Linked DNA regions of Struthio camelus. The protein of the gene in region 2 interacts with the protein of the main gene of each other region in a pairwise test. Links are inferred from orthologs where the notes say so. Each region holds a gene or a part of one and is shown on either strand. Other genes may lie near its edges.

Region 1 (16,459 bases), on a different chromosome or scaffold from region 2:
GGTGAGGGCTGATCAGTGACCCATTGACTGATTTTATTTCCGTCACCAGATAGGAACGTATCTCCCTACGGAGATCTGTGCTACAGCGCTCTGCAGACTGGAAGACCAAAATGAAGCAGCGCCTGAAAGCAGCTGCTCTAATTGTCACCAGTCCTTCAGTTATTGGCCAATATTCCAGCAGGAAGGTACTCAGCAGCACTGAAATATTTCCAGTTCTCCCTTTTCCTTCTTCGTCTATCTCAGCAGCTGCCCGGAGCACCCAGCTGTGGGAGGAGGAATTGGAGACAATGTGGAGATATTAGAAACTGGATTAGTCTCACTCTGTAAATCATTCTCCTGGCTTTCTATGAAGAAAAACAAAACTGAAATACACCCTTCCCTTGTGACCCACAGGTTGCGCAGGGATGACCTAGTGGAGGTTATTGTGGTAGATTCTGTATTTAAGAAATATTTTCTAGAAGGAGAAGGATCAGGGCCTGGTACAAATAAAAGCAGATATGCAAAAAAAAAGTCAGAAAAATTAGTTTCTAATGCCGGCCAAAACCACCAGTGATCTGTAGAAACACTAAGCTGTGTAACAGAATTTTAGACTATCTGAGTGCCACTGAGGCAGGTGAGTTTTGCTATTGACTTGAGGAAAAAGGCTCTGTCCTTTTCAGAAAGGGTACCAGTTTTCAGTGTGCAAGGGGGTAGAGTTTTGTCTTGGTTTCACAGATGAGACGAAAAGCTGCCTTTCCTCTTGAACTACCATATATGTTAACATTAACAATTATGAACAAGCAAAGATAATGATGTAGAACTAGCCTCATGCTTTGAATCAGCTGTCTTTGTGGATGATTACAATATTTTGGTGAATGTTTTCTAAAAACAGAGTGCTCAGAAAAATAATGTCTACTACAGTGGGATCCATCATTATTGTTTTACTGTTTATATTTGAATTTCTTGGTCACTCTCTTTTCAAAATCGTTACACAGGTTTTTGTTTTTTTTTTTTTAATGGAGACATGGGAAGAATATTAATTACCATCTCTCCCTGCTTAAAGCCTGTTTTCAGATCTTCATAAAGCCAACAAACTTGCTGCTTCTATAAAAAGAAATTTGATTGTGTATCTCCTGGGGTTAGTGTCTTTCCGACTTATCCTAGCAGATCCCCTGAAAAAGCTTAATCAGTTTTGTCTCTCTTACCACCTTTAATAGATATAATTAACAATTTGGGGAAATTAACAGTAACACAAGGGCATGACTATGAAAGGACAGCAGTGGAAGCAAGGCTTTATAACTTTGATCTGTGCCTTTGAAACCTCCGTTATTTTTTAAATCAGAATGGGAACATGAAGAGACTGTGGGAAAACATCACATGATAGGCAGGGCCATAGCACATTATTGACTGCTTGGAGAGATGTTACAGTAATCAAAAGGTTTTAGGCAAAGCACTGAAGTGGTTTTGTGGATGTTTGTGGGATGCATGGGACACTATGGGAGAAGACCCAAAGCTGTTTGTTTGAAAATTTAACTACCAAATGATAGAAACTCCTGTAACTGATGTAGCCTTGGATTTAACTGGGGAGTAAACTTCAGCACCTTGTCATTCCCAGCTCATGATCTCTTCACCTCTTGCTGAAAACTCATGAATTGCTAGCATTACTCTGTAATTTCTGTAGTTTCCGACTTGACAGGCCTAAGCACCATTGCGTCTTCCCAGCTACAGTTCTGGGAGTCTTCCCCATCCCATGGGGCGACACGAGCCACCCTTCCTTCTCATGAAGCAATATGGGAGGAAGAACAAGGACATTCAGCTGTCCCTCCACCCATACAGAATTGTGTCCACCTTTGATTGTCAGTCTGAATAAGCCAGCTTTTCTATAGTCGCTTAGGACTAAGCACAAATGCACAGGAGCACATTCAGTATCTCACAGGAACCAACATGCTGTCAATCTATCTGTGCTAGATATACAGAGAGCTGCTAAACCTCTAAATTTAAAAAAGCTGATACAAAAATCCAAGAAGAAATTGGCATTTGCCTCCTTTTTTGCCTAATATCTAAAGGCATATGATTAACATGAACCCATCCTAAATACTCTTTAGTGACCAGTATGACAGACGTCACAGGGCGCTAGCAGTGCATGCTTTGCTGTGCAAGACAAATGCGTTTCTGTGTTGCTACTTGATTGATTTTTTAATATTGCAACAGACATCCTTCAAATGATTACAAAATGTTATTAAGTAACATTAAACCTTACCAGCTAGACTCTGTTCTAGGCTGAAGCCCTTCTGTTCCATTAATGAAATCAGGCCTTAAAGATGACACAAGCAGCTCCAAGTGGATTAGATAAAGGAAGTACCCGTAACCAGAGGATCCGTCTTCTGTAAAGGCCTTTACTTCATACTTTGCTCACCAAAAAGCAAAGAAGGCACAGCTAGAGGGTCACTATCTATGTGATTTCCATCTATGGTTGGTTTTTTTTAGTTCTTCAGCTTCTGCAAGCTGAGAGGAACTATCTCCATGCAGAACACCACTTCTAAAACAAACTGGTTTTGAACCAAAAAGGATGCAGAAAGATGTGAGACAGCCACCTTATTATGCTGCCAAGAAACGCAAATGTTAAATAGCACATATTTTCAGTGTTTGAACCACTCTCACTGCTCAGCAGTGGAGCATGTAAATACATACAAGCATCTCTTTCTGAATAAGAAGTTTATAAAGGTTTTTAAGATAAACTAACCCAAATACAGTGAAATAAGCTTTCCAAACGCATCAGCCAAAGATGTCTGTGAAACGGGAAACAGTGCCGTCTTTCTGGTGTTGGAACACACCAGAGCAATCTCAGGATTGGTCTAATTTATGTGGATAAAATCCCCGCAGTGTGCACCTTCACTGGAGTGCATTGCCATCTCATGGCACCTTGCCTGGGTATAATCTGTGGTACAACGTTCCCAGCAGGACAGGGGAGGAAGGGAAGCTGCCTGTGATGGCTATATGTTACTACTGAGTCTCATCTGCTGGGAATCTCTAACTTGGTCTTCCAGCACTGGCCTGTAATGGGGCCCTTTTGGCCTAATCTCCACTTCAGATTCAAGAACAGTTGAAAAGGTGGTCTTTGCAACAGGTATGGCAGCTCACCTCCAATACTGAGTCACCATTCAAATGAAAACAACGAGCAAATTTCATGACATTTAGTGAGCAAACACATCCCAGAATACTGTAGTTCTTTTGCCAGCTTAAATGGCATCAAAACTCTTCCTTTGCAGCTTTCCAGCATTTCTGCCTGCTTGTACTGACTGAAACTGGGGCATTCACCTTGAATTTTGAATTTAGTTCCAGACCTCAGGGAAAAAGAGAGAGGAAGAAAAAGAACAGCAGAAATATATCTGAGAAGTGTGATGTTCAAAAGGACAATGAAAACTGATTTGTTTCCTCGTGGCTATTTCCCAGGCTTGGCACGCAGTTACTTAACCAGGGCGTTATGAGTCCCTGCCAGTGGCAAGACAGATGATTCTAAATGAAGCCGTGCACTTGGTAATGAGGACTGACCAAAATGCTCGAGTGCTCTGGTTCAGAGCAGGCTCCCCAAGCCTATATTGTAAAGATCATTTACCGAGAAGGCTGTAACCCCTTTATTATTACAGTCTGTCCATTCACAAGCCTGACTGCCTTTTACATGCATGCACTAGAAAATGCATGAGTTGTTCTGTATATGGTAAGAAGTCATCTTTACCATATTCTCCACTCCTAGAAAGTTCCCTTCTGTATGTGAAGAAAGAGCCTTCAGCGTCTTGTTAAAGGGACACCTTAAAACAATCTGCTTCATACTTTGCATGTGAACCCACTGGAGATCATTGCACCCTCACATTGTAAGGCTTCAGATCCTCAGCTACTATGAGCCAGCATAATTCTACAGATGATCTGGCTGAAAGAAGCCATCACACAAAATAAATTTCCATAGCACACTTCATTGCCGTGAAGTAACTCATCTTTGTTATGACCAATAATCAGCAAGTTTTTTGTACCACAGATCTAGATGTTAGCACAGAGTACCCTTTCCATTTAACAAATCAAATAGAAACTACCTAACTTCCAGTATGTTATTTCTGTAACGGACATAATCAGGATGCACATTCCCCTGTGATGTGACTAGTTACACTACAGTCAAATATACAGGCATTGGCCAGGGAATGGCACTCTACTGTGCTGAGTGTTGTACAAATACATGACAAGTTCCACCTCCAAAAAGATCCTGATTTAAGTTATGATAAGACACAACGAACAGTCAAAAGACAGTAAAAAAGGCAAACGCATATGCAGTAACGGGCACCTGCTTCTGTTAATGCTAAGCATTTCATATTTAAAACAATGGCTAATTGATGACATTAGGAAAAAAAAGAGAATTATGATTTTCCAGCTTCTTCCCAGAGTTTCTAAAGACTGTTGTCACTGCGCCATTAAATTTAGGATCTGTGTTGTGCAGGAGCATTTAAAGCAAATAGTAAGACCTATTATTTTTAATCAACTCAAAAGCCCAATTACAAGTCAATGTTAATATTAAAATAGGTAAGAGATGCAGGACTCATCTAAAACAACTAATGTAAATAGCATTTCTACAGTATTTCAGGAAAGTTGAAGCCTATGAGCAAACAGATCAACTATTCAAGCAGCAAAGTCTTATTATAGTAGATTTTTAAGGTGACTAAAGAACAAACGGTGGTCTCAAGATTACTTCCTATTCTATATCTAAGTTGTTATACATACACACACACACACACACACACACACACACACACAAATATTCTCACTAAACTAAATCTAGTGCATAGAAGGGCAACTCAGCTGCAGAGTCCAGATGCAGAAGCCTCGCCACCTTGGCTCTAGTCCTGCCAATAGCCCCTTCTGGTACCCGGTCAAGTTGCAATTTAGGTGGAAACTCAATGTTGAGCACACGTTTTTGAGCTGATCAGTCCTCCCTCTGTCTCAGTGTTCCCTTCTGCCAAGCAAACGATCTTTCATCCAAACCTTGCAAGACATATAACCCTTCTGTCACCTCCAGGTACCAGTTATTATTACAAGCTCTGCACTGCACTCAGCCTGTGAGCTGACTCTGCAACAAAACCAGACTTATTTATGAGAACAAGAACAGCACAAGGCAGCCAGGGAACCTGCAAAACTGTTGCATGTGGCTGAACCAACCAACTCAGTCAACAGCGATTTCAGTCTTCAATTCCATTTCAGAAAGTGAGTAGTTATTCAGTCCTGAACCCATGCCAGGCACTGCAACAAAACCAATACCGCAGCTGAACCATCAGAGTGGGAGACTTACACCTCTCTGTCACCAGCATATGGTATGTGATAACATATGCATGAAAAACTGAAGCCAGAGGTAAAGCATGATTCCAGAACATAGCCTGAGGAACACAGCAGCGTTGGAAAAGTCTGAACATAGCAGGAGCACTGGCTAAAACCTGCTACCAGGATGCTGCTAAGCTGCAGGATGTCACAAGGCATCCATGCGAGACCTCACGATGTACATCAAAAGATGGATGGTGATTCAGGAATACCAGCAACCCCAGTATCGACCTCGGTGAGGATGTCACTATGCCTATTACACAAAGCTTTTCTTCCCGGGGCCTGATCAAACTCTTGTGGAAACTTAGAACACATTTTTCTTTGTATCAGTACAGAGCTTTTTGTGAATGTCTTTCTAAGGTTCCTTGAAAAACCTTGGAAAAAAAGCCTTTCTGGTTAACTTGAAAATGAGAACTGGTATGAGATACTTCTGCCAATAAAACAGTAACTGATACCTTAGAGAAGACGGAGTCCCATGGATAACTTGAATTGACAGCTACTGATCTTTGTAACTACTCTCTCCACCAGCACTTTGGAAAGGAGGCATCAACTGTTGCTTTCTGACAAATCATGATTTCAAGAAAAAAAGCTCTTGCACCCAAAGAGCTTTTGCTGAGCTCCTGAATACCGTACAACCATTGAGGGAAGGAATGCAGGGCAGCGCTCCTGCACCCTCCGCCTGGGAGGGCAAGAGGGAGAACGCGCCTGCCATCTGTGCCTTTCCAACGGCAAGTACAGCGAAGGCTGCCGGTATTTATAAAACGCCTTGCACTAAACCCCACCTCGCAAGCGACGGCGGGGAGCTCATGTCCCCGGCATCCTTCCTCAGCTCAGCGCTCGCCTTCCCCGAGCAAGGTGGAGGCCGGGAGCGCCCGGCGCCGCGTCCCTCGGCGGGAGCGGACCCGGCTCGGCCCCCGCCGGCCGCGGAGGGCGAAGCGGTCACCGGCGGCGCGGCGCGCCGCGGCCCAACGCCTTTGTCGGCGGGAGACAGCGGCTGCTCCGCCGCCAGCCGGCCCCGGGGCAAGGCGAGGGCTCGGCCGGCCCGCGCCCCCCGCCCCGGGGCACCCCCGCCGCCGCCCCCGCCGCCCCGCGCACTCACTTCTGCCCAGCGCCTCGGCCGGCCACGCCGTCTCCTCCACCGCCCCGTAGCGCCTCAGCGGCTTCTCCGCCTCCGCGCTGGCGGAGATGGAGCGCCGCAGCTCCATGGCCGGGCCGCGCCGGAGCCCGCAGCTCACTCCATGCCGCCGGGAGCGCACGGCTGCGGCCGGCCCGCGCGGCAGCGGGCGGCGCCGAGCTCCCGCCCCTCTGCGCGGACACGGACCCGAGCCCGAGCCCGCGCAGGGGAGGGGAGGGCAGGGGGCCGGCGCGCACATGCTCAGTGCTCGCGGGGCCGGGCGAGGCCGGGGCACAGCGCGGCGGCGGCGGCGCCTCCTCCTCCCCCCCCGGGGCGCGGGGAGTCGCCCGCCGCCCGCTGCTGCCCCGGCGCTCTCCGCCAGCTCTGCCCCCCGCCGGCTCCCCCCCGGCTCCTGCCTTCCCGCGCCCGCACAGCCGCGCTGCTTCGTCTCTCCAGGGTGGGCCAGCCGCACGATAACCGGCTCCCATCCCTCCCTTCTGCCCCGAGGGACAGGCTGGCCTCGAAAGGTCCCCGGCATGCTGCCGTGCAGTTCAGAACTGTCGACTAGCTGTTTTCGTCTTTGCCCTTTCCTTCCCCCGGGATATTTACTCCCGTTGAATAGGTGCAGCAACGCAGGCAAGCAAGAGTTAGTGAGCGTGCTGCTGCCACAGCGCCGAGGTCGGGCTTGTCTCGTCTCGTTGTGGCGAGGGCAGCACTGAGCGCATCTCCTGGCCTGAGCAGCGCAGGGGCGCCAGTAAGCTCCGCAGGCACCCTTGGCTTTTGCACTAAGACACGTTTCTGGTGCAGTTCGTGCAGCCTTTGTCTTTCCTGAAAGTCCTGCACAGAGTGGTGTGACACCCGTTCTGGCTTCATGTTCGCAAAAGCCAGAGGACAGCACCCAAACAAACGATGTGATTTTGTGTTTCTCATAACCGTATGTATTTTTCATAAACATGCAGCTTCACTGTTCATGCAGCCTCCTGGGATTAGAAGAGAAGGAAGTGACTATGCAGGAAGCACAAGTGTGGCACTAATTATCGTTGCCATTATTAATTTTTTCTTTTCATTTGTGGTAGGAAAGGTTTTATTTGTATGAAACCACTGCACAGCATTTTACAGTTGCAGAGTGCCTTTACTTGTAAACTCCCATTGCGTTTTATTGTGAGTGCTATCCTTACTGCTAATGTAGAGAAGATGAAGCAGGAGTTAGGCCGGTTGCCCAGCTCCCCACAGCAAGTCAGTGTTTTAGACGTTGGGACTCCCTGTCTGGTTCATGAGGAGTGATGGGGTACTGGCAGTGCTGAATGTGTATTGCGTGCCTGAAAGCTTGTCCGTTTTTCCCATGCCTTTGCCTATAAACTTTATCTTGCTCTTTAACCACCAAAGCTACAAAAGCACTACCACTATTTTCAGTGGTATACTTACTAAATGGACTGATGCACGTTGCCACTAGGTTCATGAGCAGTTTTGTTTTGCTTTGCAGGGGGCTTGCTTTACATTTTGGGAGAAAGACAATATCGATTTCAAAACTGTTACTCTGAAAATGGCTCTCCATGTTATATTTGTATGTGTGTGAGAATTGGAATCAACTGCCAAATTAAAATGACTTGGACGTTATCTTAGAAGGTCTTCTGGGCACTGCAATTTTTCCCTATCAGCTGTGCTCCCCAGGGGTTTGCTGTGATTTGACTACCAGGCCTCCTGGAAGAGCTCTTGCTGACTGCATCTTTGCTGCTTTTGACCTTTAGAGATGGAGCCCAAACAGAGCTGTGAGTCAAGCAGAAAAGCTGGTGGCAGTACTGTGCACAGCTGATTTTGGGTGACAGTGCAGCTGCCTGCTGGGGTGGGCTGGACTGACTCACTGTAGAAGTGAGGAACACGAGCGTAGGAGGAAGACAAGAGCCCATCTGGGATCTGGATGAGAGTTGGACTAAGGGAAACAGACTTATTAGGGAGAAGGGCCAATTTCTGGTGGATCTGGGCCTATTTAGCTTCAGTCCGTCCCTTCAAGTACTCTGGGTAATTATAACCAAAGAAGTGCTTTGTTTAGGAGATGGTAGAAGGAGGCTAGAAATGATCACATATTTTAAGCCCTATATTGGTTAGAATGGAAGAAAAACACCCACTAATTAGAAGGTGGGATGCACAGTTTCCTTATGTAAAGCAAAGAATATATACGATGATTTATTGTAACTAGAAAGTTTTCACCTGCCTTTTTGAAGAAGTCATAAAATCCATTAAGGGCCCAGCCCTGAAGACAGTTAAACATATGAGCAGGCATGTGGGAGCAGTCCCGCTGAGTTTATTTGCACAGTTTTTGCAAGACTGGGGCATAGTATGTACCAATTATGTTGCTAATGTGCTAAGATTAACATTTCTGCTGTTGTGATATGAGGGCGTTTTCAGTGCTGCATTTGCAAGTGGAATTAAATTTCTCCCCTACTGATGATGCCCTTCAGTGCACCTCAGCAATATAAACACATTCTTCTACTCAGAAGGGTTACTTTTCTTCTACTGAAAGCACTGTGAAGGAAGAAAATATAAATACTCCAGTCTCTTCTCACCGCTCAGAAGATAATGCCTGGCAGAAACACACAGCACTGTTTCTGCACTTTGCTTTTGCAGTCAGCTCCCCCGGCTGCTTGAGTTCCCTTAGTTCTTTACCCATTTCTCAATTAGGTCCTGCCATCAGGAGCTATAGCTGGTCTACTGCAGTTGGCACATCTACTCTCCTATCTATTGCTCTTTTGGCCTCCATTATACAGCAGTGATCTCCCACGACAGGCATGACACTATATATATGGGGCATGCCTTACTTGGGCAAAATTTCTAATGGCAGCATGGCTTGTAAATCAGCTGAGGGGCAATGGTCTTTGCTTTCGTGTAGCTTACCAAGCACCTGAGACATCTAGCTTGAAGCTGTCCTGCCTTTGTGGGCACATCTGGTACACCAGGAGGATTCTTGAAAGCTTCTTCGTGGGTCTGGGGTGGGCTACAGTGAAGGTAAGAGTCAGGGCTGTTGTTCCTTGGCAGACAGTACAGTCATTCTAACTCAAAAATAAGAGCAAGTGTTAACATTCTGCCCAGAGTTTTCATTTATTTATAATAAAAACCTGCCACTCAACTGATGAAATAAAATGAAATGAAGTGGATTATGCGTAGTTATTCCATTTGGTATGCATAAATTCCTAGACCCATACCTTATAGGGACAGAACGGGTACTGTCCTCATGTAATCTGACTGCCAGCATAGCACAGGTTGTGAGACTCCTATGAATCTATCCTATATTTTCCTAAATACCAAGTCTTGATTCAGGACATTTATACATCAGAGGATCTACCACAATTCTTTGATATTTGATGTCAAGGTTAATCTTACTTCCCTGTGAAAATATCGTCCTGCCTCTTGAATCTTCAGCATTCAACTCTTAGGGTTCTTTGCAGTCCCGAATCCCCACAGTTTCCCCAGCTATTCCTGGTACCCTGTGCATCCCCCCAAGCTGTTCCAGCAACACACAGGAGCCTTTAGGGGCGTCAGCCTCCACACAGTTACTGTGTAGCATTACTGTGCTCTCTGTCACCTCAGGATCACACCTACTGAGCGCCATGTGCATGGCACAAAAATGTCCTGGTGCAGGTGAAAGGCTGTGATAGAGTGTTACAGGCAAATGCATACCTGCTGGCAAACCTGATAGTCAGACACATTTTAGAAGGCACACACTTAACTTCGTGATGCTCTGTGCATTGTAGGATTCGATGCAGCAGAGCAGCTGTGGGCTGCAAACCTACGCAAGCCCTGAACAGGATGGTGGTCTTGTAGGACACCAGCCACGTAAAATCATCTCTGCAAGAATGAATATTATCTGCGCTTGAAGTTCAGCGAACTCATGACTTTTTCAGAGACTCGGCTTTGTCCGATGCATCATAACCTAGACTAAGGATTGTCTAAAACTGCTGTAGCTAAAATTCCCACTCCATGTTGTTGGTGTGGCACATGGAGGGGCAAGTGGGCAAAGCCTTACTCAGCCCCACACTTCCTTGCCGGTGAGGATCTGTGCAGCTCTCTGGCTACGGCTGGAGCAGCGGTTATAGGGGCAACACGCTGTCCTGGGAGTTGTAGTGGTAAACCTGTACCGTCATATGTCACCTTTTTCTGAATCGCTATGACCAGTCTATAGAGATAGATGTACGTCGAGGGGGAAAAGGGTTCTCGTGTGTTAGTGTCCCCAGCCTGTGTTGTAGCACAGCATGAGCTTGTCTGAGTAGATGGGACCCTGGTGTATCATGAATTCAAGTAATCATAGTATGAAAATCAGGTTTGTGTCTTTCTAACTATTTCTTAGGCATTTGTATTGTCATTCTCCCTAAATGATCAATATTAGGCAAAAGTTAATCTCATTTGCTTTTCAAACAGTTATAATGAAATATTATTTAATTAAATTGAAAATAGCAGGGAAAGGGATAGCTAACAATTACAGGAGGATCCTTCAACCAGAAGATACTTTCCTCCTGCTTGTTTCCACCTTCAGTTCTGTGCTAGCATGGAAGTGCCCTTGGAAGCCTTGGTCCTGCCGGTGAGCGCTTGGCTGAGGCTCGGCTGGGGTGCGGGGAATCGGCCGTAGCACAGCTTGTGCAGAATGAGGGCCTCGATTCATAAGCCAATGTGAGTCCTTATGACGTTGTTTCCTTTTTTCTAAATCTTTTCTGATTAGAAAAAAAAATCTTTAGTGACTGCCCTTTGTTTACTTATTTATTTATTTATTTAGACTTACAGCTTCCCCAGACATTAACCATTCCTTTAAAATATATTTTAGGCTAAAGTAACTTCATAAATAATTCGCACTGGCTGCAGCTAAATAGCTAGGATGTTGGTCCTTTTCCACTGCTACCCTGGCAGGATAGAAAAGTACATCTATAGCTTAAAAGCAAGCAGGCATTCCAAAGAGCTTATTAAAAGGTGAATGAGGTGCCTTGAATTTAATTTCATGACTCTGAGGTAAGCCGGTGATCCAACTATTTGAATGTTCATAAATATTTCTACCTAAATGTTTATTAGTGTCATCTTATTCTGATTTTTGAAATTTTTAAATTAATGCGTCCAAATGAAATATGAGTGTAGCGCTGATTTTAATGTAGTATTAGCTGTTTTATCAAGCATGCACACGGAAAAAAATGACAATGTATTTAACTTCTTACTATTTCTCTGTAGCTGAATTTCTAGTAGAACTATGGAAACAAAGGACAAGCATTTAATGGCAAACGTTAGTGAACCACGTGCGGCTAATTATGTGCTAGATGTGACATGCTTCACCTCGTCTGAGTTGAACTATGCTAAAGTTCTCTGTGTCCTTGAAATTGTTTTTCTAGGGAAAATTTACTATTTTTTGAATCACTTCATATTCCTGCTTATGATTTGATGTCTGTGTGTGATAAATGTTAACTGGCAGCACTGGAGCTACAGCTTCTGACTGTCCGGCTACTATTTTTCTTATTCCATATTTAGAAATCTGTCCAATTAAGTAGGCTCTGAGATAGCAAATATTTAGATAATACTAAGTAGAAGGAGCATTTAATTGCTCCAAAAAAGCACTTAAAAGTACTTAAAAGCGCTTAAGAAGTGGTCCCCATACTTGTGGCTTGTGTGTTCAATGTTGTCTGCAAAGCTCTGTCATTTGATTCTGGCTTTATGCTGCTGGGGTCCGTGGCAAGAGGAAGAGCTGCGAGAGCTTGCCCCTGGCCTGGTGCTGCTCCAGGGGGGGTACCTAAGGCTGGGGACCAGGGGCTGCCAGTCTGCTCCGAGTATCATGACAGACCCTTGCAAGATGGAGCTCCCAAAACACAATCCAGGGTGGATGAAGCTTGTAAAACTTTTGGCTAGTCCAAGACATGTTTCAAATGAAGCTGAACTGATAAATGATTGTAGATGAAAACAGTTAATGGCCTGTGCTTGGGTATGCCAAATTTTTAAGTGCCTGTGTTTGAAAATTGGGCCTGCGCCTGTGCTGAGCCTATTTGCAAAAGTTCCTGGGAGATTAGTAATGGGTAGCCCAGGACCTTCCATTTATTCCGATTTGTCTCAGCAATTTTCTGGATAGATGGTCAGAAGAGACAGCATAAACTCAGGAGGAGATGCAGTAACAAAAAAGACAGGGCATATATGGCTGGTAGAGAGAAAGGAAACAATTTTCATGGGGCAGTGGCTGTAGCTGTGACCATAACACAGGTTTCAGAAACTTCTGTCTCTAAACTCTTCCATCCCATTTTAGTTTTTTTCTTAATAAACTATTTCTATATTCACTCTCCTTTTAAGCTACAAATTTTACAGAAGAAGCTGTTACAGCATCTGTCAGATACGTTACTAATACCACAGGTAGGGAAGTCTTCCTTGCAACAGGCTTATTTTTTGCATTCGGAGCCATCTTCAGCGCAATGACTGAACCGGCTGTTGTGCCGGTGAGTCGTTATCGTGCTGGTGGCTTTGGAGTCAGGGACGGTGGCCACAGCCACACAGCACAGATGCTTGCGTTCAGCACGTTTAGATGGTGAAGTAAAGGGGTCTGCGCCCTCTTAGGAGACTTGCAAATACACAAGACAATAAACGCTATTGAATTGCATATGTAACAGTAAGCAAAGCACTGTATAGGTAATTGCCGTATAAAATCAGGTGTAATTATTACACGCACATAACCATTCATTACTGTATTATGACGATTATGAGCTAAGCATACAACTAGAGCAACACCTTTCAGTGTCACTGGCTTACTGGCAGACCAGCTGCAGCTAACAACCTTTGCTACATTTTGGATGTAAAAGCATGTGATGCATCATATGGAAGTAGCTAAACAGCCTTAGTAGTTAAATAACCATGGTTTTACTTCAAAAAGAGATTTCTAACCTGCCTTTTGCAAACCCCTGTAAACGGCGTTGGTGTGTAGTCCTACTGCAGGCTTCCTCGCTGAACTCTGCAGCAGCTTTACGTTGAGCTGTGGCTGGGGGCTGGTTAGTGGCAACGGGGTCGGCTGAGAACAGCATGTGCAGGCAGACTTTGAGAGGTAGCTTTCTCAATGTCAGAACAGAACAAGAAAAAGGAAAAGACTAGGGATGGAAAATGGGGAACTCCAGTCAAAAGGCTTGTAGATTCTTCTCTGAATATTGGTGCAATGAGAGGGAAGCTGCTTTTCTGACAAATCACTCAAGAAGAAATAGAGTGAGGGTTTGTTCTTACATAGGCACACACTTAGTGCATACCTTACTTATAGTATATACTGATTCCAGACAAGTGTGTTTTACTTTACCCGGCCACAAAATTATACCCTATAAAAGGACACACAATTCAGAACAAAGCTGACACTTCCTCCACAGATAAAGGAGCTCATGTGGCGGAGAACTTTGTGTGCATGGTTTGTGAGTCCATATGGCCCAGGCACTGTACTTATCACAGCCATCTGAGTGCTTATGCATCTTACATTGATTGTAACTGCATAAAGTACAGCAACGAAACTGGGAACAGCATATCTCCACTCTCCCCATATCCCTGGTGACTGAACTATCTATTAGGCTACATATTCATGCTCCTTCTTGGACTCTGATTCAATCAGTCTGGACTTCTACACCGCAAAATGGAGAAGAGAGTGACTGCACCAAGAAACTGTATTTAAGGTTTTCTCTTGGCAGACAGAAAACATTACATTCACTTACAAAGAGCATCAGCTGAGGGTGAGCGCAGACTCGGACCTGCTGTCTTTTTTTACCTGTTGTCTTACAGCCCTGCTTGACAACTGTCTTTCCTGGAACCCAGCGCATGGAGAGGCCCATCCTTCTGCTTCTGAACTTCTCTCGTGTACCTGTTGTTACGGCAGAGCTGTCCTTGACGGTGTCTTTTCCAAACATGCTCCGGAACTCATTACTCTTCTCTGGTGCTGAGATGTCTCAGCACAAACAGCTGTACTTGTTACTAGTGGTGTATGTAGGGGAATGATGCATTTTACCATGCTCTTCGCAGTGAAGTCACTGTTTTTCTATCTAGATATACAGTGCAAGCCTTTGGGCACTGCCAGTTTAAAGTAATAAACTGCAAACAAAAAAGGGAAAGTAGTGTTTGCCAAGGCAGATGCTGTTGAATAGCGTATGCAAAGATCATACAGATATGTAATCAGCATTCTTTGTTCTTGCTTAAAATGGATTCCCGTAACTTTGATCATTGTGGACAGGCAATTAAACGTGAATTCTCAGAGCAATTTTGAAATTAAGACAGAACATACGGTCTTTGGCTGCTTAAGCACAGCAATACCAAGCAGAAGTAGAAAGAAATATTATCTGTGAGGCGTGTGTGAAACTGTTATTGGGATTAATTTTTACAGGATTACTGTCTACTTTTCAAAGTGGAGGTTGCACAGCAATAAAGGCTTCACAAAAGAGTTTCAAGAATGATTTAGCATAGGACTAGCAGAGCTAAACCTATTTAGCTTATCTGAGGAATAAACAAAAACTTGAACAGTTTACTAATACATGCACACAGAAGGCTCTTCCTACCGTATCAACTCTTTAGTCAGAAAAGGCATAACAATATCCTGGCAGAATGCTAAAACTAGGTTGAGTAAGATTAGCTAGACAGTGATAAAATTTAACAAAAATACACAGTCAGTTGTAATTTCTTAGGGTTGTGGCAGATTCTCCGTTATTTGAAGCCTTCAGATACCTTTCTGAAAGGTATCATGAGACTCATGAGACATTATTGCCTTGATTCAGTAAGTACTAGGCAACGCTCTTTGCCCTACATTATGCAAAGGTTCAGACTGAACGATCATTTTTGTCCCTGTTGGCCATGAAGACTATGAAACAGAATTTTTCAACTTGAAATCTTTCCATAAATCTTCCTCCTCGTTCTAAATATACAAGAACTTACAGCAGGGAATGGAGCTGTTGTCTCTCTTCCAGTTGTGGAATACATTACTTATTTCAGCCTTAAACCTACTGGACGGTTTCCTTCCCAAGAATATCACACTCAAACTACAGTGAGTGCAGTCCTTTAATAAGGACCCCACTGCTAATCTCTGTTCCTGAAACCTTTTATACATTTTTCCTACCTGCATTTCCCAGTACCTTCTGTGATTATATTAATTATCTAAACACATAGTAAACCTGAAGTTTTACCTCTTTTTAGTAAGAGAGCAATTAAGTCCAGTGGTAGTGGCCTTAAAGATGGAAGTTCTGTTCTGAATTTGTTCCGAAGTGGCAGATGACTTGAAGTACGTCATTAACCTCTAAAGGTAGTGAATAATCCCTGCTTACCTTTTACCCTGCTCCTGGGCTAAGGCCTATGCTGTGGGAGGTACCTCTTTTTCACGTGACATCAAATTGAGCCCTTTGCGAGTTCTTTGCTGTTTGTGATTCATGAGGATCCTATGGAACTTTGCACAAGGACATGGATTTGTTTATACATACATTAGTTGAAGACAGAGCCAAAGAACAACATTTAATGTTTATTAAGCCTTTTCAAAAATACAGTCAACTTGAAATTCACTGTTTCAGAATATTCAAATATCTCTTGCACATTTCACTGCACTGGCACTAGCAGTAGAGGCAGCAGCACTAGCAAAAAGCATTGGCACTTAGAGCAGAGATGCAGAAGCTGCATAGATTTCAGATGTCATACCCTACACAGAGAAGTTACCCATCAGACACAGTACCAAACTAAAGTCAGACAGTTTCACCTTCGCTGCAATATGAAACTGGTTATTTTATGCATTTGTCCTGATTGGTTGTTTCTGGTGTGAAAAAGATGGAGGCTTTCTGGTGAATTTTCCAAGCCTAGAAGTATGTGTTTCAGATACCAGTAAGTACAGGAGGTTCATTTACGCTGAAGATTTGCAATAGAAAAATACATTTCTAAATTTTCATTTTACCAAATTCAGATTTTAAATCTTCAGAGCTGCAATGCAAACCTTCATGAAGCTGCAATGTACCTGATAGGAATTTGTCTCCTCAACCCATTTGCTCTTAGTGAGGT
Region 2 (16,237 bases):
CCCTGGCCACTGCCATCCACAAATACGCTATACTAAACGCACCTCTACCCTTTTAGGGTCTGCATTTTTACAGCCAATGAATATTTAAAACTTACAGCAACTATGAAATAACTTCTTCAGATTTCCATGGGCATACACACATTTTGACAGCTGCCGAATTCAAGGATGAAGCGGAAAGTCACTTCAGGAAACATTCATTGAAGATATTGATTAAGCAGCAGGACAGTAAGAGTTGCAATCATGTCAAATACAGCACAGAAAATAATAACAGAAGAAGGAAGTATAAGAATGATGAGCTTGTTAAGTGCAACAAATAATAAGATGCAGAGGGAAAACAGATGTCATGCTGGATATGAAAAAATACTTGTATTTGATAAATATCCAATGACCACCTGTCTTTCAGGACATGATTTTCAATTAGCTGGTTTGTTGATTTTTTATTCCTCTGCTGGAATACCGGATTTTGTTAAAATAGAATTTTAACTTGCAAAAATAATTCTTCATGAAAAAAGTAAAAACATCAAAACAGAACACTCGCTCTCTTTAGGAATGCTAGTTATCAATAACACTCCTGCTTTTACTAACACAAAACAACTGGCATGCACATTATTTTCAATGAAATCTGCATTTCCAGGCTCTGAGTAACATTAGTTTAGAAGTCATAAATCTCTTTCCCCTCTACAAGTATAGGAATCTTCACACAACTCTACTTTTTTTTTCCATTCAGATCACACCCCACCTTCACATTGGTCTAGCAATGCAAGTATGACTGGCAGGACTGCACAAAGAGCCTTAATTAGGGTAGATGAGAATTAGGCCCTCAATCTAAAGGACCGAAGGAAGAAAGATAGCAATATTTTAAAAAATGCTGCATCATTAACTGCTGTACAGAATTCTGCACAGAATATAGGACTTCAGGGATTAAATGCTAACAACATGCCAGAAGTAACTCAGACAATGACAGTTTAGGTAGGTTTTCAGTTGTGTCTGGTAAAAGAGAAACCCTATCGTTGCAAGACTATACACTGATCGTCCAGCCACTCCAGAAGATTTCCACATAAACTCGAGTATAGTATGTCCTAATGGGCACTGCACTCATTAGTCCGCTCTGGTGGGCCAGGACGTTTATATACATCAGTTCCAGGGCAATCATTTTGTCTTCCTCTTAACACATTTCCATAAAACTTATGACTTACTGTAAAACCACATGGAACAAATGGGAGCTGATACTACAGAGAAGCCTAAACCTGTGATGACATGGAATAAAATAGCTTAAATTTGCTCAGGATACAACTCACGCTCTTGCTATGTGTTATTTTGAATTCATGTATTCAACAAAATGCAGAGAGTTGAGAGCTTACGGCAGGCTATACTAATACTTATTTTGGTCTCTCTAAGGAGAGGTGGAAAGAAAAAGGGCTTTTTTTATTATTCATCAAAGACTGCACCTTTGCATTGGACTAGAAAATGAGTTGCATGATGCAGAAAGAAAAATTTGGTATTATGCATCACTCTCAGAAGACCGCACTTTTGCATGAATGCTAGAAAGCAGTCAGGCTATGTCTATACTGTTCTGTCTCTGAGTTTCCACATCCTGGTGCCTGCTGCAAATATATCCCCACCCAGACTTGGTCCAAGCATACACCATCTTAGCCCCATATTACAGAGAGGAAACCCCAAGCACAAAGGCCAATAGGAGCTGCAATGTATGTCCAAGATTTTGTTCTGATCCCACCTAAGTGGAAAATGATGAAGTTATTTATATGGATTTATTATAAATAAAAAGCAAGTCTAGAAATTTAAAAATATATAGAAATCACTGTATTCTTTTCAATTTCTTAAAATATCTTTAAAAGTAAATAGTGCCATAAAGCAATTTTAAAATATTAATATTAATAAAGTATATATCCCAGTATCCTTGAGATAATACGTTGCAGGAGATGACAAGCTAAGTAAAATAATTTTCCTTCTTATTTCTGCTACCAAAAATTCTCCTTTTAGATTAACAGTTCTTCTTTCTAGCCTATCCGTATAATCACAGAAGTCCTGTTGACTGCTAAGCCTGTGAGAAAAACTTACATCTCAAGTATATGTTACAATGAACTAAAAGACAAATCCTAATTCAAGGATGTTGTTGTTATCTAGTTTTAGTCTGAACTTACGTTCAAATCTGTGGGAGCTTGGCTTAAGGAATAGATCTGAGACATTATCTGGTAGGTGTTATTTTGGTTTTCTTAGATGTAAATAACGCAAGTCTAAAGTCTACCAGGATGACAAGGATATAAAAACTCACTATGTACAATACGTCCTCAAAACACTCTTCCATACTTAAATAATTTATAAACAGCTTAGCAAAGATCACAACATTCTTAGCACAACAGGCTAGCAAAAGTTACATGCTTTGCTCTGTGATCTGCTCCTCCAGTCGGCTACGGCACTGAAGGTTATATTTAATACAGGAGAAAACACATGATACCATAGCAGATATTAAATCCTAGGATGATCTGACTGTTGTGAACACTGTACATCATTTAAAAGTTTGTATTTGAATTCAGTTAAAATCCTTCTTTGAATTAGAAGCTATGATCAGGTTTACAGAAATCATAATTATATAAAAAATACTTTGCCTACTATGCAGTAATTATATGTCTACATGGAGACCTACTTAGATAGTTTTTGGTTTAAAAGAAGCCTTGAGAGTAGGGAAGACATTGTTCCTTGGCTAAATATACACACATGCATAAACCAGCAACCTTCTTCTAATTATGCACAGATAGGGCATACAGAAGAATGCTTCTGGTCCTTAGGAAACCAGTGGTAAGACAATTATTTATTTCAAGGATAGAAGGATTGGTTTCCTTACCAGAGAAATGATTTACATGTCCTGGTGCAACCAGAATACACATTTGCTAACTGCTGATCATCTCTCTCTGCTGCAAAAATAAAATATTATTGACAGAGCATAGTTTTCTGACCTTTTCTGTTCCTGCCTTTCACTACCTTCGGGCTCGTGACTTTATATATAAATACTGTCCTCTGTATTTGACTTTTAAGTGCCGATCTTTGGCTTTTGTGGCTAGTAACCACATCCGGAAGTTGCATGGTTGAAGCATTGGCGGCCCTAGCCCACAGTACCCCACACAGTAATAACATTTCTCATAAAACATTTTGATAGTTCTTTATTAGTTTAACATCTAAAACATGCTTGCATTTTAGATGTTAGTAGTTCTAGTTTGGTATGTGACTTGGGGAGAAACATGCCATGCACTTAACGTCACATCATTACCGTACATAATGGGTTTTGCTATTTCCAGTTAAAGTAAAATTCCCTTTTTTTTAAAGAATGAAGTTAGATAATCCATATTCCATGTCATTTAAATTGTCTTTGCTGAGACTCTCCTTATACAAGAGAAGTTGTAGAATTGCCTTCCTCCTGAAAATATATATATTTATTTATTTATTAAAACACATCAAAACTGCCTTAAATAGTTAATTAAAATACATAATTTCCTACAGTGAATTGACTCAATGAATGGTCCTATACTTAGAGAATCCACAGCTAGGTTAGAAAATGCTTTAAGATAAAGAAAAAGACAAATACCTAAAATGCATAGAAATTACACGATAACTCAAATTAGTAAAGCAACAACAGATCATCCAAAGAAAATACACTGTAGCAATACAAGTGTATAAATTATTCAAAAATGCTAAACCTAATACTACCTAGACTCTTATAGTATGTCTCCAATATAGCTTTAAGTGTATTTTTTAAATGGAAAAACAGAAGAACAAAACATGTATGTGTACTTCCTATGGTCACAAAGTAAAAGTATGGCAGGAACAAGAAAAAAGCGTACAATCTCTCACATCCTGGGTTCGTCCCACATCCCGACTGTCTTCTGGAAAGCATGCTGCTTCAACAGTCCTTCAGGGCAACTGTAAGTGATATTTTCCATTCAACAAACAGGTGCTACTAGCTTACTCCAAGTGAGAAAAAGGGAAAAAAAAGTTTCATCTTAACAGCTCTAACAAAACTCCTATAGTAAAAATCGCCTGTATCTTAATGATAGAGAGATAGACACACACACACACAGATAGATAGACAGAAAGAAAGAAAGAAAGAAAAGGGCAGAGAAACTTCTAAATGAAATACTTCAATGTGTTTCCTAAAAACATCATTCACTCCCCACGACTCCTCATTAAGCATGAACCCCTGAATTTTAATTCTCAATTTAAATGTCATAATCTATTACATTTAAGTAGCCTAAGAAATGACGGGCCCACCTATTTAAAAGTACTGGGGCTCATTCTCTACTTCTTCACGCTCATTCAGTGTCAGTCTATAGAGTGATGAATCAGGTCCTCAGCTTCCCTATCATTTGTTTTTGTATGACTAGGTTACCATCACCTGAATTTATGTCTAGAATACTTTCAACATTTATACATATTATTTAAGTTCTAAACAGTTATGTTTTTTTTTCCTTTAAATTAAATCCTGTGCTACAGAGAGGGATCGGGGAGGCTGACTGACATTATTTGTGGTAGGTGACCGGTCTGAAAGTTTCTTTAGCCTCTTGCAGTTTGTTGCTTGGACTATTAAGGGAAACACAATTAGAGGTGCAGTCCTACTCACACTAAGATAGTTACCTGGAAATGGTAGAAATGATGAGAGGAGACAATTTCTTCTACGTATACAAAAGATTCTCTCTGTAACACAGCCCCAAATGATGTCAGCTGTCAAAATCTGCCTAACGATACTCAGCAAATAGCTGTACTTCTGTATAAGTGATATCTGATATCTTTGCTTAAACTGTGTACAGTTATTTTTGTTCTAATTTTTTTTAATATTGTCCTAGACTACAAGAGACACAGTGAGCAGTCAGAAATAGATTGATTTCACTTTTGAATCGAGTAAGTGTTAAAGGTAATGATATAGCAAAGGATGTATAAACCATCCACCATGGTTTTACTAGACACTGCAAGATTCACTTTCCTCTTCTTCTCCTAGACCCTGGGGAAAGCACTTCAAAAAATGTCTTAAAAAAAATATATATTTACTATCTATATTTTTTAAGGGAATACCTCACCTTTGAACACAACAAGCGATAACTAACGCGCTGCGTTCACCGCGAGCCCCATCGCGTGGTCCAAGAGCAGGCCCTGCTGTGAGCGCTCAGCCCACGGCCAGCCCCGAGGCGTGCCGCCCCGGGGAGGCTGGCGCTGCCCGCCGCAGCACGACGCCCGGCCAAGGGACCTTCACCCGCCCGCACGGCGGAGTGCTCGGGGCCGGGCTCTTTCCTTCCCTGCCAGATCAACGAGGCGGCTGGGCAAGATGCAGCGAGGTGAGGGGTGGTGAGATGCGGCGCGGTGAGGTGAGGTGTGGTGTGGTGCTGCGAGGTGCGATGTGGTGAGGTGCGATGCGGTGCGATGTGGTACAGTGAGGTGAGGTGCGGTGCGGTGATATGTGGCAAGGTGAGATGCGGTGAGGTGAGATGTGATGAGGCGCAGTGAGGGGCGATGTGGTGAGGTGAGATGCGGTGTGGTGCAGTACGGTGCGGTGCGGTGAGGTGCAGTGCGGTGAGGTGAGACGTGGTGAGGTGAGGTGACATGCGGCAAGGTGAGATGCAGTGAGGTGCAACGTGGTGAGGTGCGACGCTGTGCGGTGACGTGAGGCGCACGATGCGGTGTGGTGGTGATATGCAGTGAGGGGCGGTGAGGTGAGGTGCGATGCGGCACACTGAGGTGAGGTGAGACATGGTGAGGTGGGGTGTGACATGGTACAGGGAGGTGAGGTGCAGTACGGTGAGGTGATATGCGGCAAGGTGAGATCCAGTGAGGCGCAGTAAGGCGCAATGTGGTGAGGTGAGATGCAGTGAGGTGAGATGAGGTGCAATGCGGTACAGTGAGGGGCGATGTGGTGAGGTGAGATGCGGTGAGGTGAGGTGCGGTGCGGTGCGATGCGGTACAGTGAGGTGCGACGTGGTGAGGTGAGATGCGGTGCGATGCGGTGCGATGCAATGTGGTACAGTGAGGTGAGGTGCGGTGCGGTGATATGTGGCAAGGTGAGATGCGGTGAGGTGAGATGCGGTGAGGTGAGATGCGGTGAGGCGCAGTACAGTGAGGTGAGGTGAGGTGCGGTGAGGTGAGGTGAGACGTGGTGAGGTGAGGTGCGACGTGGTGAGGTGAGGTGACATGCGGCAAGGTGAGATGCGGTGAGGCGCAACGTGGTGAGGTGCAACGTGGTGAGGTGCAACGTGGTGAGGCGCGGTGCGGTGCGGTGGTGATAGCAGTGCGGGGCGGTGAAGGGGCAGGCGAGGCGGTGCGGTCCTGTGAGATGCCATGACGGAAGGGCGCGGGGCCGTGGGGGGAGGTGCCGTGAGGTGCTGTGCGCGGCGCGGGCGGGAGCCCGGCGGGCAGCGGGGGGGCCGCCATGGCGGGCAGCGCGGGGGCCGCCCGGCAGCCCCAGCCTCACGGGCCGCCGCGCCGCGCCGCCGCCTCCCCGCCCTGCAGCTCCCCTCCTCCAGCACGTGCAGTATTCCCCGGGCAGCAGAGCCCGGCGGAGAGCGGCTGTCCCGCTGGCGACCGGCCCGTCCTTGCCGCTGCCAGGAGCGAGTTCACCCCCTCAGCCTACCCCCCTCCCCAGCCCGCCGCTGCTTCCTCCGGGCGTTGTGCCTCCCACCTGCCCGCTCCTTACGTAAGGCAGGATCCGCAGCGGAGCGGAGAGGCAGGTTAGCCGCGCACAGACACACAGACAGACACACACACACGCTCCTGTGAAGGTGCCGATACCTTTTATCGAGGCAAGCGATCCACTCGCCGGAGGATGCGGAGTGGGAGGTGTGAGCAGCGACCATGTTGGGCAGGGATCAGACCGCGCTGCGGCCGAGCTGGCGGCGGCTGGCGGCGGCGGCGGCGGCGGCTCCCCCCGCCCGCCGGTCGGTCGGTCGCTCCGTCCTGCCTCGCTCCCGCCCTCCCTCCTTCCCTCCCTCCGCGCGCGGCGCGATGGGCTCGCCCGGGCCCCGCCGCCGCCGCCGCCGCCGCCGCCCGCCCCGCCGCAGGCAGCGGGTGCGGAGCGCCGCGTGGGCCGCGTGTCCGCCCGCGTGGGCTGCGTGGCGGCCTCGCGCCCCAGCCCGCAGCGCTGCGGCCCTCCGGGGAGGGCCGGGGCCGCGGCTGGGCCAGAGATGCCCTTGACCGGGCTGCGGGGGAGTACAGGCTCTTTAATTGTAAGAAGTAGCTCACGGGTCTTTTAGCAGCTCCGCAGACTGCCGTGCCCCCCGCTAGCCCACGCTAGCAGGATGGAGGGAAGGTGTACTCCTTATCTGAGGAGTGTTTGGGAAGCCTTCCCCCAGCCTGCCATCCATCCCGTGCTCTTCCGCGACACCGTGTCCTGAAGGCTCTGGTTTATTGTAGGTGAGGATTGAGCAGAGCAGTGCAGCCTGTGGATGGGACTTAGCAACGGGGAGGAGCTCAGCATGCGGCAAGAGAAGGGTAAGTCTGGGGTACCATGTAATACAGCCACCTGGCTCTGTGGCCTTCGCCTGGCCTGCAAAATGCAGCTGCTTTCAGGGTGCTAGTACAGGCGTAATTGGAAAGGTGATGAGCAGAGCAGCAGGTCTCCCTGAGTGCCAGGTTTTGCAAAGCTCAGTGTGAAATGTTTTCTACAAAACATGTCAGGATCTAGATTGTATCTTCCCAAGTATTTGTGTGTAACCATAAGCTTCAGCTTAAGAGTCAACACAGCCTGCCTTGAGTAGCATGGGAGAAGGGTAGGGAGCTGCACAAAGCTCAGCAGGATGTTTGAAGTTACATGCAGATGATAGCAAAGTAAAACTAAACTGTGGCTTCCTTCAGGCTCCTAACTCCTCTCTGCTTTATAGTGTGGACACAAACAATTAATTCAGATGCCAATAATCTGACAGTGACTTCCCACAATTCTCCATGAGCTGTCTTCTTTGCTCTCTGTTCTAATGTCTTTTGCTGCACCAAGTATCACTTTCTCATATACATGCACTACTTCACATTTCACATCTATGTTCAACGGCCAAATTTCTGCCACGGCTCCTTCAACACTTTCACAGAAATAAATGTTAACATCAAGGTTCTGATCAGTAGGATCAAAAATCTAAGGAAATGTATCTAAAATCCCTTGTGCTAAAAGGACGTGCCTAAGAAATGAGCAGAGGAGACAGAGCAGAGGAAAATGGCACAAAAGCAGATTCTTTTATTTTGCCTTTAAAAAAATTAAAGTACATGCCAGAGGAATGGAGGAGGCCACCAGTCACTGAGATCAAAGCTGCAGCTCTTCCTTTGCTGCAGTCCCTGGTGGGGAAAATGAGAAATTCTTGCATCTAAGCAAATCAGTCTACTTGAGGAAAATCAATGTTTTTCATTCTTCAATATATAAGTGTTTGGGAGCCAACAGCAGAGCAAGAGGTTCAAGTGTAAAAAATAATCTAAATTCCCAATGATTTATAGTGTAGTATGTACATTATAGGTGACGCACTAAGGCTCACTAATTTTGCACTTCCCTTATAGAAGGTTAAACACATTATTCTACATAATTGCAGTTTTCCTTCCAGAACAATCACACAAGGCAGCCGTTACTGCCCTTGCTCCCCACAACGCACTCCAAGCTGTAGTAGATGCTCTTCTTACTGACATCAGGCCTGTGAAGCAGCCCAGAAGTCATTCCTAGCAAAAGGCCTTTACTTTTTATCATAGGCTGTTTTACTGACACAAACAGCATTACACATACCAGTAGCAGCGATTTTGTACATAACCACAGTGTAGCTTAGTCAGCAAAATGCTGCTGCTGCAAATGTTTAGTGTTCACTCAAGCCATCTTCTGCCAAGTACTTTCACATCTGTGTGATGTTCAGTGACCCAACCACTAGAGGACAGACTAGGTCTCCATAAACAGCAGTAAGCAGGGATACTTCCTTGGTAAGCAGAAGAAAGCAGTCCCTGCTTGAAAAGGCAAGACCTTTGGAATACTCTCCTGGGATGCAATTTGTGGTAAAACCTGTGTCGGTGCACATGCGCCTACCCCTGACAAGCAACCTACCTGCCTGGGACAGACCCCTGCAGTTCCCAGTACTTTTGGTCCCAACGCAGCGCATGTAGGTGTGAGAGGATGTTCCTCAATTGCCTACCTGTAGGCAGACACTGCTCAGAGATGTACCTTTTTGTGGAGTGACAGCTGTATAACATGTTGTGGATTATGCAAGCTAGACGGGCCCTGATTAGGCAAGGAATAATGACATGAGGAACCCTGGGATATATCCATACTCCACTCAGAAGTGGCGTCTTATACAGCAGTTAAAGCAGGACAGTCAAAATATACCTATGGCAGTTCAATTATGAGTAATTGTGTAGATTTCTACTTAAGACGTGAGTGAAACTCCTCAGAGAAACTAGTGAAGCAAGGAATAAATAAATATGTGATGAGTTCAGATATTGCCTCTGTTGACGAGAGTCTCTCAATTTGCACAGAAATGTCAGGAGCTCCTGACTGCTGAAATCATAACTCCTGAACCCGGCCCATGGCATGTTCTCCTGAGGTACAAGCTACCAAATAAGCAGTATATATCTCATAGGACAGATAACCCAAGTCAAACAGAATGCAGAATATCCTGTGACTCTTGAGAACTCAGTCCATAACATGTCATTTAAGAGCAGTGGTCTTACGTTAATGGGGTCGAGTGCTCACTTACCTACTAGTAAGAGCATATGCTAGAAGCAAAATGCTGAAGTGCACTTCATTGCTGTCAGGACCGATCTCCTCCTGGTGCCTCATAGTGCCCATTCTTCATTACTTTTCTAAGCTACACACTCATTTGAAAAAGAGAGGACCCAAAGGATATTTGAGACTCAGTTTTGTTAGTAGCCAAAAACACACTCATGCTCAATCTCACCTGTTTCTACACATTCCTTCTATTACACCTTTTGTGAAGTTTCACCTGAGAAAACATGAAGGATGATGTACCATTAAAATGACTGGTGATGAATATATGTTTCTCAGAAATGGATTTTTATTTTTCAGCATTTGTGGAATTCCACAATAACGTTGCAGATTTAATTTTTTTCTCTAGAACAGAAGGCGAATGGGACATCTTACAATCCGATTTTATGAGACTTCACTATGCAGCCAAAAAGTTGGGATGGTAACTGCTCCCAAAGCAGACAGCTGCTGAGAAATGGAAATATGCCAGCCGAGATATCTGAAAGATCGGCTAGCTTTTTAATTTTCCACAGTTTACAAAGGACTGACAGGGCCATACTGAAGCTCTTAAGCCAGGGTAAAACAGAAATCAGCCAGCCTCCAAGTTCTCCTGTCCCTCTAAGACTAACAGTCAGAAAGTGCGGGGTCCAGACTGTTGTTTGTGTTATGGGACATAAGGCAGATCACACCATATTTCAAATCTCAGCTATTTCTTTGCTTTTTCTTCCCAATACAAATACTTATTCCTTTACTTTTTCACTCAAACAAGGCCAAAGAACTCTTACTCAAAATCTTCCAGAAACCAGGAGCCTACTAAAACTGAAAAACTTGATCTGAAAGAGTAAATGATAGTTGCTAGAGCTTGAAGAAAATATTTATTAAAAGTATTTATTAAGGTGTGCACAGTAACAGGGCATGAAAGAGGTCTACTGTGGAAACCTCTTTACGCTATTAATTATATCATGAACTTTCAAACAACTGTTAAACTGTTAAAAAGCAGTAAGGCTTGCTGTATTTTTACAGCAGTTTTGGATGCTCTATATACTATTCTATACTATTGAAATTGCTGTTATGATGTAGTGAGGAATTAGTGGATGCAGAATCTGTAACCTGTCCTTTGGCATCACAGTGGTGAGCGCACTAAAGCAATTTTATTTTGCAGCAAACTCACTCAAAACCCCAAAAGCTCAGTCCTCAGTTTTGGCCATCTGTGTTCAGGAGAGAACCTAGGTGAAGCACAGCTGGCTCCCAGCCACCAACGTACTCCTCTGCTTCCTGTATCTGTTGAAGTATTGCTCAGCCTCAGGACTATTCTAATTCAGACTAACCGAATTGAATCTAATTCATAGCGCAAGACATTGGCTACAATCCTTTGTCCCTAAAATACAATTGGGAGACAGAGTAAGATAAGGCCAGCTCCACCAGCTTTAAAGCATTCAAGATTTCCATTTCTTGTGAGGAGTCCAGAGTTAGTCACTTAAGCTAATTTTAAGCATGTTTTTTTGTTGCTATACTGAAGTCAAGTTAATTAGCGTAAGCCCAGAATGAGCACACAGATTCTAGTTCAAAGAACAGTTTAAGCTAACGTATCACTTAAAGATCCTGTAAATAAAAGTCAGTATGAGTGAGTGTAACAGAATTATGATGCAGATTTAGAATCTAGCAGTGTCACTTTCAGCATGGCTGGGGTTGTGGGAACCAAATGTATTACCACTTGTACAGCTCCCATTGACTTCAAAGGAGTAATCAAGATGTAGCAAAATAAAGACAGGAGAGTTTGAGTTCTTTAGGGATTTGTAAGCTGCAAGCACTGCAGAAGATGTGATGCTATGTGATGTGCAAAACCAAAACCAATGCATGTATTAATAACGCTGTCCTGTGGAGCCTACAAGACACATATTGAGTCTCCCCTCCAACACAATTCTTTCGACCCGTCATATAACATAGCAAAGACTTTTTTAGCACAAGTTAAGACCTCCTCCTTCCTAGACCGTTCCCTGCTCCTCTCTCTCTTGCTCCTGTCCTCCTCATTGATTCAGGACCCCTCCACAGTATGCTTCATAGCACCTTCTTCAAAAAGACCATGGCACTATCAGCCTTTCCCCCTGAGCAAGTGACTCTAATCCCACCCATTATTCGGGAAACCCTTCTACCATACTTCTTGCAATAGCTCTACCATGATATTCCAGAAAAGGTGTCAGTATTGCCTGCAGCAAAACAGGTGTAAGTGGGATACAGATACACAGTTAGCAACAGATATACTGGAAAGAAAACATACAGTGTCCTATATAGTAGGCATAGCATGAACACAGGTGCAAGACAGAGAAAAGGCAGTACAGCTGAGCCAATTTTTATGTGAAACAATAAAGTTCATATTCTGAGGTCTTTAAAATTATTTGGCAGTTTGCTGTTGTCTTCAGCTGGGCTGGAGACAACATTTAGGAAACATTTCCTAAATGGCTGGAGACAGCCATTTAGGAAACTGGCTGGGCTGTTTCCTAAATTCCTGAAACCAAAAGAGGTAACTGGACTTACAGTGTATGTGCAATTTTATATATGCCATACCTGCATATGCAGATTTTCTGAGCAGAAAAGGATTGCTTATCCATGCATCATGTATAGTGCTGCATTTTGCATCGTTTTACTCATCCTAATTTAACACTGGCCTTCTCTTAATCAATGTGAAATAAAGGCTTATGTCATAGTAAAGGCCAGCAACAGGGAGCATTTTATTAGTTTTATATTCCTTGAAATAAAATTCTCTCAAATTCATAACATTAATTACAATACATTTGTGATAACATTTCTCACTAACAAAAAATGATGCAGCAGTCACTTTTTGTATTATGACTTGGCACAAGTTTAGCAGCATGTTGCACTCAAATGCTATGAATTTTTTTCCAATATGATGACCAATATCAAAACCTTTCTGTGGAGTGGCATTTCGAACAGATGGTCATTTGATTTGCACACCTGAAATCTGAGCCCATATTCTGGGATGAATTCCAAAAAGACTTGGAGAAACCACCCAACATGAAATAAGCTTGACAACCTTATGGATAGGCATCCATCTCATATTTTTACTGTAACTACTTTCTTTTTAATAGGAATTTTCTCCACACGATTTTTGTTAAATTCTTCTGGATTTATGAAACTAGATGAGCAGAGGGAGGTATGAATGGGGCTATTCTGCTTAATCTGCTTCCTCAGTTATGTCAAGGCCTAATAGCTGGGCTGGGAATTCCTGTTCCCATTCCTATTTCCATTCATATTCATATTTCACAGGAAAAAAAAAGCCTATTAAAACAAATAAATAACAAATTCCAACTTCCTTACAAGAGTATTGTAAAGATTAATTAGCTGATGAAGTATGCTACTTTGCAGTAGATGCCCCACTTTACGTACATTATTCTTTAATTTTTTAGTGTTTAGATCTACAGACATGTTAACACCCTGGGTTTAAACAGAACTTTATACACACAGCTCAGGACAACGTAAGGAATTTCAAGATGATAAATATCAGGAGAATACTTTGCAGTTGCCCAAGATACGAGGCAGACTGGGTCTCGAGCCCTGTTAATGTCCCTTTTCAACACAACACCCAGGAGGCAGTAGAACTTAAGTGCCACACTGGACCCCGTGGCCTGCCGCCATGCTCCTTACCCTGGGAGCACAGCACAGGTACCTCAGTGCTTCTGCAGGTGCCCAAATCAAACTGATCAGCTGGGGCTGAATCACAGACCTGGCCTGCAGGGTCTCTGGCTTTCTGTCCAGTCATAGGAATAGGTTGCCTGGAGTCCCAGTCTGGCTCTCCACACACCACAAGGGCCTGGCAAGTATGTCATTTCAGCTCTGCACTACCTGAAAGCAGCTCTGCTGCTTCTGGGCCTGGCCAGACCCTGATGTTGACAAGAGCATGCACTGGGAGGCTCCACTGTACCTTATCTGCTCTGCACTGTCAGCTCAAGTGTCTCGCTTTCGCTGGGACGTACTTAACTTACCAAAGCTGATGGAATTGGTCATTGGATTATAATTATTCCCTCCTCCTTTCACCCGAGCTACAAAAGCAAGCAAAATTCTTACTTTCTGTATGTGTAATTCCATGTCCATATTCCTTTATCCTTCCTTGCCAGCTTTGCTGTATTTCAGTGAGCCTAAGTTTTCACCAAAGGCTAAAAAGAAAGGTGGTTTTGCTTAGTTGCAGAGCCAGATGAACACATTTCTAGCTGTCTGGTCCAAGTTGTATCTTGTCAGCTTAGTGTTGTCATTCTGCTAGACCCACATGGATATACTTCTGGCAGGAACAGCAGCACTTCATGGCCTGCCCCTAAATTTGCTGCAGCTGCTATTAGAGCCATTAGGCTATCATGATTTATTTTCATCAAATGGCTAGTTGTCATCATTTTACTGGATAAAGTCCAAGGCAAGGCCTGGGACTTCCTGTAAGCAAGGCAGCCCATTAGATGTCCTTGTGGTTACTATCTCCAACAATAGTTTGAGAGAATTTATTGTAATGATCCTCTCTAAGTCCCTTAGTTTCATAATATTGATCTTTCTAGATGACATTCAAATAGATTTCATCTTCAACCTCATTTGATCACTGTAAGGAAATATCTTTCATTCGTAAAGTTTGCTCCCCATTTCTCCCAGCAATCGGTTCTAGAAATCAAATATATCTGCTCATAATTCTTTTCACAAAAGTAGTGGTGATGCATAGGTATTTAAAAAACAAAGCCCTTTGATCCAGTGTTAGGATTCTATTTATCTATATTTCTATATTGTTCATGAGATGTGTGGCATAAAATGCCATTTGACTGCAATCACCCCATTTTCCTCCATGATGAGTTATAATTCATGAAACAACCTCTCAGCAGTAGAGACTTTTATTTGCGTGAGCAACCACACAGAAAATCTACCACACCTCTCTTTGGAATAAAGATTATTTCAGTGGAAAAAGGGACAAGATACTAAGATTCTTGGCAAACGTCCTGTGGCTCACAGGCGTTTCAATAGCCTTCTCTCTCTAGCTGTAATTCTCACAGTGCCTGTTTGGGTTTTTTTGCTTTTTTTATATAGAGGTGAGTGGCCTTAACTGTCTCACAGATTCCTCCTTTGTAAAACTGACATACATAAAGAATTATCTTCATCATAAAATAAACACTTCTAACAAGCTTTGTCAATGAGTCCCATATAACTGGGACATGTAATACAAGACCTTACATGCAGCAGTGACTAGTGATCTGCAGTGCTTAAAAACACAAACAAGAAACAAGTCCTTTAATTACTTTCAGCAAATTCTATTTTTTAGTCAAGAATATAGACAAGTATAGGTCCAACTCCATAAAGTGGGGTCCTGGGGCAGCCACTCAGATAAAACCTACAAGTGATTTCAGTGCAAGCAATAATTCCATAAATTCTTTCAATGAAAGTCAAAGACATTCAGCAACTCTACGACTGTCCTAATCAGGTAGTCATTGTTTAAGCTTCTTAATTACATAGGTGTTCTTCACTACTCTGAGAAGGACAGGATTGTAATTAACGTTATAGGAGTACTCTAATGAAAACATACGGAGCTGTATATTTACTTATACAGTGCAGTAGGGCCTTGTTATAGCTGAAGAACAAACCAACTTCAAATGACAGAACATGTTTATGTAACACTTCATTATGCAGCTTCATATATATTCAATGCAGCTATTCTCTTCATTACTGTACAGTAAGTAAGTTCTTTCTGTGAGGTTTAGTTCACAGAGGTAAAGGTTTAGTTTTTCAGAGAGCCTGCTGGGGGCACCAACACACACCCTTAAAAACAAATAATGACATTAGGCAAATAAGACAAATTCAATCATCTGTATGGTAAAAATGACATAGTAGGCCCCAGATTTATATAAAATAATTTCATACTTCAATTTTTATAGGCTTTTTTTCACAGTTTTGAAAATATACCTTGCAACAAATCTGCTTGCAGGCTTATACATGCAAATAATTCAGACCAAATGACTGAGGACTGAGCTGAATACAGCATAGACAGCCCTAATAACATATTCAGGCTGAGAAATAAAGGTGAACCAATTGGTAAGAGGGAGAAAAATTTGTCATGGCTGTGGGCTGGGTCCTGGCTGGGACAGATAGGTGACATTTGTTGCTAAAAACCAGACTGTTGTGTTGCATAACAGGAAACCCAGCTGTAGTAGCCCTGTAGTCCAATAGCAATCATGAGGTGTGTAAAAGCAAGAGGAGAAGACCTAGCTAAATTAAAAATATGTTAGTGATTAGACAGTAACATAAAAGCAAGCAATAAATACTCAGTTTGAAGTATGGGGTTTTTCACATATAAGTCACATGGGTTCTACAGTAAATTACACAAATCTGCAAGCTCGAGAGTACACTATAGAGTGTATAGCCAGTCTTTACAGAGCTCTTCAGTTGTCTTCAGTGTTCTCTGATTTTCCTGAAGGAATAAAGTCTTTCCATTTCATGTCCCCTGAAATTACCAGGTTCATGCTTGAGGGCAGC

The links.
Region 1: the proteins of RAPGEF4 (region 2) and BMERB1 interact in binary tests that used the Homo sapiens proteins (3 or more experiments, as listed by UniProt). The link is inferred for Struthio camelus from reciprocal best matches to the Homo sapiens genes RAPGEF4 and BMERB1.

Annotation. Positions count from the first base shown.
Region 1 is NC_090956.1:11,641,223-11,657,681, forward strand, and holds the start of BMERB1 (bMERB domain-containing protein 1), read right to left. Parts: upstream 6,716-16,459; 5' UTR 6,711-6,715; coding exon 6,437-6,710; intron 171-6,436; exon of another isoform or gene 50-170; intron 1-49.
Region 2 is NC_090947.1:22,440,519-22,456,755, forward strand, and holds the start of RAPGEF4 (rap guanine nucleotide exchange factor 4), read right to left. Parts: upstream 6,957-16,237; 5' UTR 6,855-6,956; coding exon 6,790-6,854; intron 1-6,789.